Linked DNA regions of Macaca mulatta. The protein of the gene in region 2 interacts with the protein of the main gene of each other region in a pairwise test. Links are inferred from orthologs where the notes say so. Each region holds a gene or a part of one and is shown on either strand. Other genes may lie near its edges.

Region 1 (4,091 bases), about 60 Mb from region 2:
CTACAAAAGAAACTGTCACTGGGAGCGGTGTGGCCAGGGAGGAAGCAGTGCTGCCAGGCTCGGCTCCAGGGCACAGCTGGCTGGCGGCTGCCCTGTCCGCAGCAAAGGGGCACAGGCGGCCGGGGACCGCGAGAGGTGGCGAAGTGGCACCGGGCGCCGAAGCTGCTGAGCGCTCGCCGAGACGGCGGCGGGTCTGGCTGCGCCCTGGAACTGTGGCGACTCCCCCTACTCAGAACTTGGCCTGCGTTTCCCAGGACTCTCCCCATCTCCGGAGGCTCCCACAAAACCGGGAAAGGAAGGAAAGGACAGCGGCGGCAGCAGCTCAATGAGTACCTACAACAGAAAGCCTGAACGAGCTCGGTCGTAGGCGGGAAGTTCCCGGGGGTCTGCCCAGTACAGCCGCAATGCTGCCGCGAGCTGCCCCAGCAGTCCGGGCCCCGTAGACGCTTCCCGCATCGCTCTCCTCCTTCCTCAGGCTGCCGGGAGTCCCGGGACCTGGCGGGGCCGGCATGACGGGCTTCTCGGGGGCCCGCCGCACGCCCGGCAGCCTCCGGAGACGCGCGCCGAGCCCGGCTCCCACGGCCTCTGAGGCTCGGCGGGGCTGCGGCTGCCTGGCGGGCGGGCTCTGGAGCTTTCCTGAGCGGCATTAGCCCACGACTTGGCCCGGACGCGACTAAACGCTCTTCTGGAGAAGCCCAGAGTACTGGGCAGTCGTTACGACCTGTAACTTGAGGGCCACGGAACTGCTACTCCCGTTCGCCTTTGGCGATCATCTTTTAACCCCCCGGAGCACGTCAGCATCCAGCCACCGCGGCGCTCTCCCAGCAGCGGAGGACCCAGGACTGTCCCTTCGGCGAGACGGATGGAAACCGAGCCCCCTGGAGGACCTGCCCCTGCAGTTCTGCCTCACACGGCTCAAGTCACCACCGTGAACAAGGGTGGGTGAATGCCTTTTCTTCCCCCCGAATGTCTTTCCTTCCGCGGTATTTTCTGCCCCGATCTATAGTCCCTTGAGTGTCCACACACACTCCTCACAGAGATCTGTAGCGTAGGTACGTGACAGCTCTGCCTACATCTGACGTCCGGAGTCATTACCCAGGAATGTATGTGTGTCTGTGTGTGTCTCTGTGGAGTCGTCAGAATTCTTCATAGGGGTTAAGCTAAAAAAGCGAGGCGAGGAGCCCCTCTCCAATGGCTCAGTTTTGCTGAATAATCACGTGTGAATCGAGGGGCGGGCTTTTGGCAGGCAGATCTTACTAGTATTTACTACCAAGCTCTACTCCAGATTAACCATCCCAGTCCTTCTGTCAGTCTCCGATGCCATCATGCAGCCTGGTTAGGAGCAAAGGAAAGGGAAAAAAGAAAAACGACTAATTCATCTTTTCCTGATCGTCAGGACCCTAAAGAATGGCCGAGCCTTGGGGGAACGAGTTGGCGTCCGCAGCTGCCAGGGGGGACCTAGAGCAACTTACTAGTTTGTTGCAAAATAATGTAAACGTCAATGCACAAAATGGATTTGGAAGGACCGCACTGCAGGTTGGTATTCAGAGAGGTGGGGAAAACAAGTCAATAATGTTGCCTACGTGACCCGGTTTTCTAGATTTACAGCTTTTAAGCTTTCAGGGACATAAAATTTCACTGTTTTTAAACCTAGTTGGTTGCCATATTTTATATCTTTAAGTGGATGCAACTTCTCAAAATGACGTACTTTGAACAAACTCCTCAAATCCAATAACATCCTTGATATCAAGTGGGGTCCAGATTTGGTCTTAGTTTTTGGAATCTTTTTGTGACGGTGGGGATTTTAGAGTAGTCATTGTAGGGCCGAGGTTTGTTTGTTTTGTTTTGTTTTTAAAGACAGCTCTGTAAACACATTATTATGATTATTATTTGAAATACACTGCTATTAGTGGTTTCACGTACTTTGCCCCCAGTAATAGACTTTAACGTTAATTTTCTTGACTACTGGTGAGGGTGTTTTTCCTTCAAATGCTCCAAGTTTTGACAAACGACTTTTCCTCGTTTGGAATGGGTGGCCTGGGCACCGGGACAGGATGTACATTTCACAGTTAATGTAATACCATCCACTCATTCAGGAGTCGGGAGGAATAAAAAGTTGAATTTTCTAATCAGAGCTCAGCTGCAGTGTCTTTGTCTCTACGATTATGCCGTGGTGTGCTCTAATTTTCAGTAATTAGATTTACAGGCAACGATTGACACATGTCCAGCTGCCAAGTATTGTACCTGATAATTTTTTTCTTCTTCTGAATGTTATCATGTAATTTAGGTGAAAGGCTTAGAAACAGAAAAATGACAAAATAGTTTAAAATAGTTAATTTATCAGAGTTCTGATGATATTCTTATGAGCTATTCTTATTTGGAAATGCAACACTTGAAGCTGTTTTTGAAAACCCATTGGGGAGAGGGTTTTTAGAGGGCTTTGTTTCGGTTACAAGAATTAAAAATTTAAGTGCCAGGAGATATACTAGTAACAAACAAAGTCCATGTAGTCTGTACGTTTTCAATCAGAATACACTGGCCTTGCAAAAATTTCAGTATTAAGGAAGTTTATGCACAGATACTAAATTATTTATCTTGTTATTTCTGCTACATTAAGTAATGATTTTTTTTCTTTTTCTACCTAGTAGTTTTGAACAGGTTTAGTGATGATAGCAAAGTAACAAATTTAATATATTGAAAAGCTTCCTTTTGAAAACTCAAAAGATTATATAAACTTCACAAAGAATGAGCTACTTAACCCATGTTCATAATAAGATTTTACAGGATTTTTGACGAACAGAAAGACTGGGAAATTAATAATATTCTTTTAAAAAGTTTTGACAAACATTTTTAATACAACTTTGCAATCTTGTTTATATTAAACATACTTATCAAGATACTAACACCCACTTATTGTGGCTTAGTCCTTGTACATATAACGAAACACACAGAAACTGGAGTTTCAAGGCTTATTTTCATTATGTATAATCCTAACTCTGAAGTTGTGTCATAAGTCAAGAAATAACTTTCTTCAAAACCATTTCCAATATTACTATTATTTTCTGTGAAAAAAGGTGAATTTTATTCTACAATTATGTTTATTTAACTCAATTTCAAAAGCCTTTTCCACCTTCCTAGTGTATATTTTTCTATCAGGTTAATATCAAAGGCCTTAATCGTATGTTTGCTTTACAAAGATCCAAGATATCTGTCTCTTATTTTTCTCATTGCAGGTCCTTAAATATGACTAAATCTTTAGAGACAGTTGTGGTGGTATCAATTTTTAATAACCAAAAGTATGTTTCATTGAAGTTCTTGAAATATAAATTATGTATCACTGTTTACCACTGCTCCAAAGGAAGAGCTAAAAGTCAACAGAGTTTTATCAACAGGGGAGCTTAATATCTTGTCCATCTATATAGTTTGCATTTACAAAATATTACTCATTCTAAATATATTTTATTATTTAATATGTGATTAGATTTTTTAAACATTTAAAAAAGATAGATCGACTTTGTATTTTCCATTAGCATTTAATTTCATAAACATTGAGTGTCTATTATATAAGATATTTATTATAATTTAGATTATTATAATATACCTAAATATAAATAAACCAGTGTAAATGCTGAAAATATGTGGCATGTTAATGAAAGTAATATTTTTTCACAACTAAATTATATGTATTTTATGTTTGCATGATGTTCTACAAGATATTTTATAACAGACCACTGATAGAGTGAAACATATTCAAACAATAGTAAATAATCTTCGTTATGTGAATTATTTGTATGTTGATAGCAAGTGGTAATACCACATTCTGACTTTTAAAATGTTGGCAGTTTACAAATAGCTATTCTTTAAATGCTTGATAGTAACTGAAAAAGGAACTAACACAGGATCACCAGTTGATTATTAAATTAGCTCAAACCACAAGACAAGGCACAAGGCTGTCCGTGTCCCAAAACACCCATTAAATATCTTATTTTTTCTTCTTTTGCTCACTTGAAAATCAGGAGGCTTGTCAGAACTTTGAGAAACAGCATATAATGTAATAGGGTGACTATTTCATTATTTTCAAGAACAGTTGT
Region 2 (3,500 bases):
CACCGTGCCTGGCCTGGAACAGATTTCTTGTACTCTGGTACAACATTTGATCTTTATGTCAGAAACAGGCTAGCCTGCTTGGTTTAATACTGGGAAAAAGAGCTTTTCACTTGCTTCTCCCCAGGTTTACCTGTAATAATTAGGTTTGAATGGCCCATTTTTGTTGAGTCCCAGATATTTTGCTTGGTCATCTGTCAGCTCTGTAAGGTGGGCATCAAATGATGGCAGGTGCAAGCTGGCAACGTATTCATCTAGGAAGAGCAAAGTGGCAGGAGAGCACACTCCTTTTCAAAATGTCTCTCAGGTTATAATTTCCCATTTTCATTTGAAGCTTTTTTAAGAAAGCAGACAAGGGATGGAATAACTCTAAAAGAATCCACAACTTGAAATATTTGCTTAATAAAAAAAAACCTCAAGGCTGCCTTTCTGGGCAGGGTGCTTCTCTCAGCACATCTCAAGTGAGTTCAGAAAAGCCACTTACCAGGGTAACAAAAGGGAGTGGGCTTTTACCTCTCTATCCTTCTGTGACAAAGCAGGGGCCTTCCCTGCAGTGGCCAACATGTCACATGCTACTCCTACCTTCCTGCAGCAACCTCCTTAACTAGATTAAATTATAGTCAAATTAGCAATCAAAGTGGACACCAGTAAGCTAGGAAGAGCCTGTGTCAATAACACTTATTTAGGATAAGATCCATGGATCTTAGGATCAAATCTTAGGATCATGAATTTCCAAGGTAGTTGGCACAAAATTATTACTTTTCCATAGATAAGCTTCCCTTTTATAATTATACACTTAAAAAAAAAAAAAAAGTCTGAAGTAAGCTATTGGAGGAGAGGACAGCAAGAAGTATTTTAGCGTTAAGAAGTAAGGGATTTGGCCTAGCCAAGGAGATATGGGAGATGGGTACCACCATGCAGAAAGGTAAAGGACTACAGATGATGTATTATGTCACTTTAACACAGCATGGGTTGCTTACAAGAGATTGGATAGTTTGCATATCCTCACAGATAATGGACAATAAAACCTGTGTTTCTTTCATTTTGGTCCAAGGCTGTATGTACTCAGCTGCACTAGGAAGTTTACTGAACTTAATAAGGCTACTTAGAGTAAGAACATCTACCCTAAACCATTGTGTTAAGCACTGTTACTCATTAGCTGGGATTCTCACACAATTCTACAATGTATGTAGTATTATTCTCATTTTACCAATCAAGAAACTGAGGATCATGGAGATTAGAACTTGTCCTGAGGTCAAACAACCAGTAAGCACAAGAACAGGAATTGGAACTCTGACTCTAAATCCAATGCCTTTCATGGCAGTCATTTTACCAAACTATGCAGCTGTCTGCATAGGATTCCACTGTTTTTCACTCACCCATTTTCTTAGGAAGCAAGTATACATCCTGCTTGTATCGTCCCTCAGGTGCATTATAGAGTTCTATCAGTGCCAAAGCCTAAGGTGGGAAAAGAAGACCAGAAAACATAAAAATAATTGTTAGACAGGTACATAAAAATAAAACCAGGTTTAATAGCATTTGGGTAAGTACTACAGTGATCTACCATAGTGACAGCACCTAAGACTTTGCCTATACTAAAGGGCAGCACACATCCTAAGAGGATTTGTTGTTTTTGTTTAGTTCCTGACAAAAGAACAACTCAAATAAAACTAAGCTGGAACATTATATTCTCAACTAAACAGCCAATTCAACAAATACTGACTAGTGACTCTTTTCTGTACTTGAGAATACCTAAGTCTCAACAATTTATTACATAAAAAAAGAATAGGATGATGAGAACATAGTACAGTACACCCTCACTGGAACTGATCTACGCCCAGTTCCACAAATTGCGGTGCAATGTAAGCAGGCATTTTGCCACATACCTGTGTTGTGGCTGTGATGGACAGAACAAAGGTGGGAACTGTGGAGCAGCTCAAATTGAGTAGACGACCCTGGAAAGGTAAGAGAGAGCCCTGGGATGAGCTCTGTCTCAGATTCCAATGGCATACAAGTCAAGCCAAAGCGGAAGAAGACTTTACACCCCTCTAGACTCAGCTGGAAGAGGAAGAATTACAGTTCCAGATCAGGACTCTAGGCTTTTTCCTATTTTCTGCAAATCCATCTGAGTCTGAAAGGTTAAAGAATCAGCTGTGGTTAGGAAATAGTGTTACTTAGTAATGAGATTTTTTTTAAGTGGTTTTATTTTGGGGACCAGATAATTTGTGAAATATCTCTCTCTCCAAAGATAAAATTCAGGGAAACACAGGCCCAATATTTGTTCCCCCCCGCCACCCCCACCATGGATCTAACTACTCTGCTTGTGCTGCTCTGCCAGAGTCCTTTTCTGTGTGTACCTCTGCCAGGAGGACAACTCGTTTGCCATCTGGCCAGATGACATGGTCCACCTGAGAACGTACTCGCTCCCACGTCAGCTCTGGAGTGCGGAGGCTGGTCTGAAAGGAAGAAAGCACAGTTGACTATCGTTATTAATGAAAGGTAGTAGAGAAATGCCTAGCAACAAATGAGAGGAGCCTTACCACATCGATTTCCGTATTGGAATGGCCCATATTGCATACGATACAACTGTTTTTCATGCGATCCAAGTGCTCCCGTGTCACTACATTCTTATTTCCTAAAAGTAAAGATGAGTGGCTAAGGAAAGAGATGCTGGACAACAAAGGTACTGGTTGGCTTTCTGGTAGAACATAGGAGACAGGAGGCTTGCTGGCATTAAAGGACATGTACACATTCTGAGAGAAGACATGCATAACCACTCCTTAGGCTACCTGGTCTTCAGATCAAGCAGTATAAAAAGTCACCAGGGAAAGAAGTTTTTTACTCTGGAAAACATGTTAAGGTTCTGACAGCTTATTCTAGTTCTGAGATCTTTATACTGAACAGAGGTCTCACCTCCTTTGTATGAAAGTCACTAAGACTACTTTCAAGATTTAGCCTCTGAATAAACACCCCTCTATGCAAGTTATTTACCTGTGCAAGTTATTACGACATCAACTTGCCGGATGACTTCATTTAGCTTTACCACCCTGAACCCATCCATGCTAGAAGAAAAGAAAGGAACATTATGAGTAAAGCAAGAAGGCAGTGGGAGGGAAGATGGTCATGAAATGAGACAAGATCCCCTTCTAAAGTTGGATCCAGTGCCACCTCACAGGAATGGTGAGTGATAAGCTGTGCTAAACTATATACACTGGCCTCTTCAGAGTCCCTAAGACTCCATCCAGGAAGGAAAACTGCCAAGAGGCTCTAAGAGAGCCCTAGGGTTAGAATGAGAAGAACAGAGCAGTCCTAGCCTTCTCTTCCCCTAGGTGATTTCTGCAAAAATGATTAATATACTCAATTATGAACTCTCAGTAACATAAAGTACCTAGGGTGAATCTAATAGTATTATCAGTCTGTTCTTACCAAGCCTGCAGAGCACAGATGGGGTCGATTTCGGTAATGTAGACAATTGCTCCAAGAGCTTTGAGAGCAGCACAGCA
Region 3 (4,135 bases), on a different chromosome or scaffold from region 2:
GATGTGAGAGGTATTCAGGGGCAGACTCCAGTTACCGTAGATCTCCTCTGGGGGTAGAGTCAGGGACACACACATGGACCAGGTACAGAGACAAGAGAGGGAGAGAAGATGCTGCCATGACTGCACCCTGGTGTCTGGACCCGGGACAGTTGCTCAGACCTCCAGGTCTCTGGGCCTTCCCTTTTCCCCAGTGTGGACCCCAGAAGTGTACCCACCTTCCGAGGGGCATTTCCATCTCTCCAGAGCCAGTATGGCTTTGGCTGGAACCAGAAATGCAAAGGCACTGGCCTGAAACAGCGGCAGCCTGAAGGAGAGGCACAGAGCAACAGGGTGGGGAGGAAGGATATAGATGGGGGGGGAGGAGGGATATAGACATGGGGAGAGATCAGGAAAGGAGAGCACAGAGAGAATGACAGAGACACGAGGAATAAGGGCAGATGAAAGTCGCTGAGGCCCCAGGGAAGACCAACTGTAACATTTTGGCTGCCCAAGGAAGAAAACAAATGGAGCCCCCAACTCAAAATCTGCCCCCTTTCCTTCCCATCACCAGGTCCTGCACTGTTAGGAGGGACCACCTGCCCGGAAGTGGACAGCTCAGTTCCCACATCCAGATTTCTCTCACAATCTTCCCCTGCCCGCCACCGCTCAAACAGCTCAAATGCCACCCAGGCCTAGGGCTGTGCACTCGGGAGCGTGGGGCCCTGGGAGGGTGGGCTGTTGAAGAGGCTGGCACCGGCCCTGGGAGCCAGCTCAGGGCTGCCATTTGGGCAGTATTCAGAATGCGGCTTAAGAGCGGAGAGCTGGCCAGGCTTGGTGGTTCACGCCTGTAATCCCAGCACTTTGGAAGGCCAAGGCGGGTGGATACAAATGCAAAATTAGCCAGGCGTGGTGGTGCGTGCCTGTAATCCCAGTTACTCGGGAGGCTGAGGTAGAAGAATCGCTTGAACCTAGGAGGTGGAGGTTGTGGTGAGCCAAGATTATGCCACTGCACTCCAGCCTAGGCAACAAGAGTGAAACTCTGTCTCCAAAAAAAAAAAAAAAAAAAAAAAAAAAAAAATGGGGAGAGCCAGCGAGGGTACATTCCCTTCCCTTAATTCCCTTCCCTTAAACTTGCAGATGCTTGGTTTTTGAGTGTGCCTAGATCAAGGTTCCCAGGGTCAGGGCTGTGCTGCCCAGCTCTAAGGCTGGCCTGGGATAGGAGAAGCAGTTGGAGGCAGATAGTGGCTTTTTTGTCTCACCGGTGTCCTCTGGGAGCCCACCTGCTCCTGCTGTGTGGATCACAGTGGGGGGGGAGGGGGAACTGGGCCGCTCACCGGATGCCCAGGGTGGTCTGGATGAGAGTGGTGATGCCCACGCATGTGAAGATGGTGCCGATGAGCTGACTAACCATGTGCTGGTCGTGGCCCACACACAGCGCCTCAGCCAGCAGGAAGGGCACGGCGATGGTGCCACTGAAGCATGTCAGGTAGTGCTGGGCGGAGGGAGAGAGCAGAGTGCATGAGGCAGGACCCTAGAGCTCCAGGGAGAGGGGACAGCCTAGTGTCCTCATGCCTGCCTCAGCAGGCCTTGACCTGGCTGCCTGCCCAGGAGAGGCAGTCCCCACAAGGGATTCCCAGAGAGCTACTGCTGACCACTCTGGGGGTCACTAATTTCCACCCAAGTTATTCCTGTGGCTTCCATGGAGTTGGCTCTGCACCCTGTCACCAACACTCCACCTGGCAAGTGTCACACGCCCCCAGGGAGTTCCTCCTCTTTCAGGACTCAGTCTCTTCCCCACCCCTGCCTGCTGACAGCCATGTGCTGACCTCAGGTTTTTCTTCTTGTTACCCAGGATACTCCCTGCTGGCCAGGGACAGGCTGGAGTCACCGCGGAGTGTGCAGAGTGAGGGCAGGGAGGCCCTGGGGGACCCACCTGGAAGCCCAGCAGGATGCACAGGTACCAAGGCGGCACGTCCTCGATCTTGTACAACATGTCAAACTTAGGCTCTGTGGGTAGGGGGGTCGGAGGGTCCCTGGGGGATTCATGCTAGGGGCAGCAGAGATAAGTAGCTTAGGGTGGAGTGATGGGGACAGGCAAAATCCATTCTGCCCCGAAAACAATCAGGCAGCCCGAGTGGCCTGTCAGCAACTGAGAGTGGGGTCCCTGCCCTCCCCAACAGTTCATCCACCCGGTTCCCACTCGGCCTGGCCACAGTTGTCTCCCACTTCACATTGCTTCCCACAGGGATGAGTCTTTTGTGCCGGCTTCTAGAGCCCTCAGGACCTGTCATTTTAGCCAGGGAAATGGACCCCTAAGTCAGAGGTCTGGGGACCACAGGAGAGGGGGCCAAGAGGGCTCGAGACTGTGGACAAGTCCAATCCGGTCCCACCTCTGCCCCCTGGAGATCTTTGGGGTGTCACTGGCGGGGAGGTTAGGCCTCTCCTGAACCCCAACCTAGAGTCAGCCAGTCCCAAAGCTGCAGGCTTCTTGACCCCCACCCCCACCCATCCCCCAGTTGCCACATTCAGTTTAGGACAGTCACTCTTTATCAAGTTCATCAGAATGTTTATCTCTGGCCTCCCGGGAGAAGGCCTGCACAGGCCCTCCAGCCCCCCACCGCCCCCCGCCCCCACCTAGCCCCCACCCCCAGCCCCCAGCACCTGTGTTGGGCCCTCGGGGTCCTCGTGGGCCCTCATCTTTGGGGCACAGGTTTGAGCAGTTCCTGAGGAGAAGAGGGGAGGACTTTACAAAGGCCAAGGAGGAGGACTTTACTCCACATATCAGGCATTGTTCGAAGTAAATCTGTAACCAGATGCCCAGCTCCGGATTGCGAAAGGGGGGCCTGGGCAGAGGTAATGTATTAACTCTCACTAGGGCAGTAAAAGCCACCTAAGCCTCTGCCACATGTGCCCTTCCCTGCCCACATCTGCACCTGGGTGCTGGACCTGTTCTTGTTTCCCAAGAGAGGGCCAGAGTCGAGGGGGTGAGGACCAGAAGTTTACCAAGCCCCAGGTGAGGGGAGAAAGAGGGAGTGGAAACAGGCACTTATTATGTAACCCCCTGTATGAGGCCCTTCCCCATTTATTAATAACCAGTTCATCATTATAATCATCATCATAGTCATTCTCGTTATTAAGGAATGGCCTTGTGCCAAGAAACATGGATTTGCACTGTCTCAAGTAACCCCTGTGCTGGGCAGTATTAACCCCTTTAACAGCAAAGGAAACAGATTCAGTAGATGTGATTTGACCCAAGCCATGCAGATAGCAAGGTTGCAGAAACCAATCCTAAAATTCAGGTTGGTCTGACCTGCCTTGCCCCCACCACCTGCACCCCTCAGGGTCCCTGAGGCAGGCAGCAGATGGGCCTCTGCAGATGGAGCTGCCTAGGCTGGCCCAGCCTGGCCTGCACCCTGTGTCAGGACACAGATCCCTTTCCCTCCCAGTCACATAATTTGTGGGACCCAGTGCAAAGTGAGAATGTGAGGCCTTTATTCCAAAAGTATAAAGAATTTAAAGATAGCAAGAGCATCAGATGGAGCATGGGGCCTTTCTATACACCAAGCCCGGTGTGACTGCCCATCACCCAGCCCAGGAAGGCAGTCCTATGCCCAAACTCTCTCCCCTCCTGGCAGGCCCAGCCCAGCAGGGCCTGAGGATGGCAGGGGGGACATGGGGAGGGGCCCTAAGAGCTCAGGCTCCTCAGCTGGTGAGGGCTAGGCCTGAGGTCCCCATTCTGTTCCCTCTGGGCTGCCCCAGCCCCAGCACTCTAGGGCCTACCTACTTCTGGGTGGCTGTGCCCATGGCCAGGCCCTGCCCGCAGGGCCAAGGGGCAGCACCGCTCTCCAACTGGACAGCAGGTTCATGCCACAGCACTGAGTCCGCCTGCCTGCCGGTGTCCACACTGTTCCTCTGTCCATCCACTTGTCCTCTCCTCTCCCTCTTGGCTCCTACTCCCAATTTCCCAAGTTGCTGGACCAGTTTGAAGCCTCTGCAACTCCCCAGCACTTTCCTCTCCACCCCCTCCTCCCAGAACTCCCCAGGGGGCTGTGGATACCAAGCCCCACCCCTTGCAGACAGGGGTCCATGGACACTCAATTCAACCCAAACCACACAATACACATAAAGAACAAGGTGGAGAACAAGGTCCCAGATC

What was found.
Region 1: the proteins of AHCYL1 (region 2) and CDKN2C interact in binary tests that used the Homo sapiens proteins (3 or more experiments, as listed by UniProt). The two-hybrid records come from large-scale screens. The link is inferred for Macaca mulatta from reciprocal best matches to the Homo sapiens genes AHCYL1 and CDKN2C.
Region 3: the proteins of AHCYL1 (region 2) and SLC23A1 interact in binary tests that used the Homo sapiens proteins (3 or more experiments, as listed by UniProt). The two-hybrid records come from large-scale screens. The link is inferred for Macaca mulatta from reciprocal best matches to the Homo sapiens genes AHCYL1 and SLC23A1.

What each region holds. Positions count from the first base shown.
Region 1 is NC_133406.1:189,694,273-189,698,363, reverse strand, and holds the start of CDKN2C (cyclin-dependent kinase 4 inhibitor C), read left to right. Parts: upstream 1-1,291; 5' UTR 1,292-1,407; coding exon 1,408-1,536; intron 1,537-4,091. UniProt on the Homo sapiens protein: Interacts strongly with CDK6, weakly with CDK4. Inhibits cell growth and proliferation with a correlated dependence on endogenous retinoblastoma protein RB.
Region 2 is NC_133406.1:130,177,066-130,180,565, forward strand, and holds part of AHCYL1 (S-adenosylhomocysteine hydrolase-like protein 1), read right to left. Parts: coding exon 3,424-3,500; intron 3,060-3,423; coding exon 2,989-3,059; intron 2,633-2,988; coding exon 2,538-2,632; intron 2,454-2,537; coding exon 2,355-2,453; intron 1,953-2,354; coding exon 1,884-1,952; intron 1,456-1,883; coding exon 1,377-1,455; intron 252-1,376; coding exon 131-251; intron 1-130. UniProt on the Homo sapiens protein: Multifaceted cellular regulator which coordinates several essential cellular functions including regulation of epithelial HCO3(-) and fluid secretion, mRNA processing and DNA replication.
Region 3 is NC_133411.1:148,245,512-148,249,646, forward strand, and holds the start of SLC23A1 (solute carrier family 23 member 1), read right to left. Parts: upstream 2,801-4,135; 5' UTR 2,677-2,800; coding exon 2,641-2,676; intron 2,027-2,640; coding exon 1,913-2,026; exon of another isoform or gene 1,832-1,912; intron 1,719-1,831; exon of another isoform or gene 1,513-1,718; intron 1,472-1,512; coding exon 1,314-1,471; intron 305-1,313; coding exon 216-304; intron 48-215; coding exon 1-47.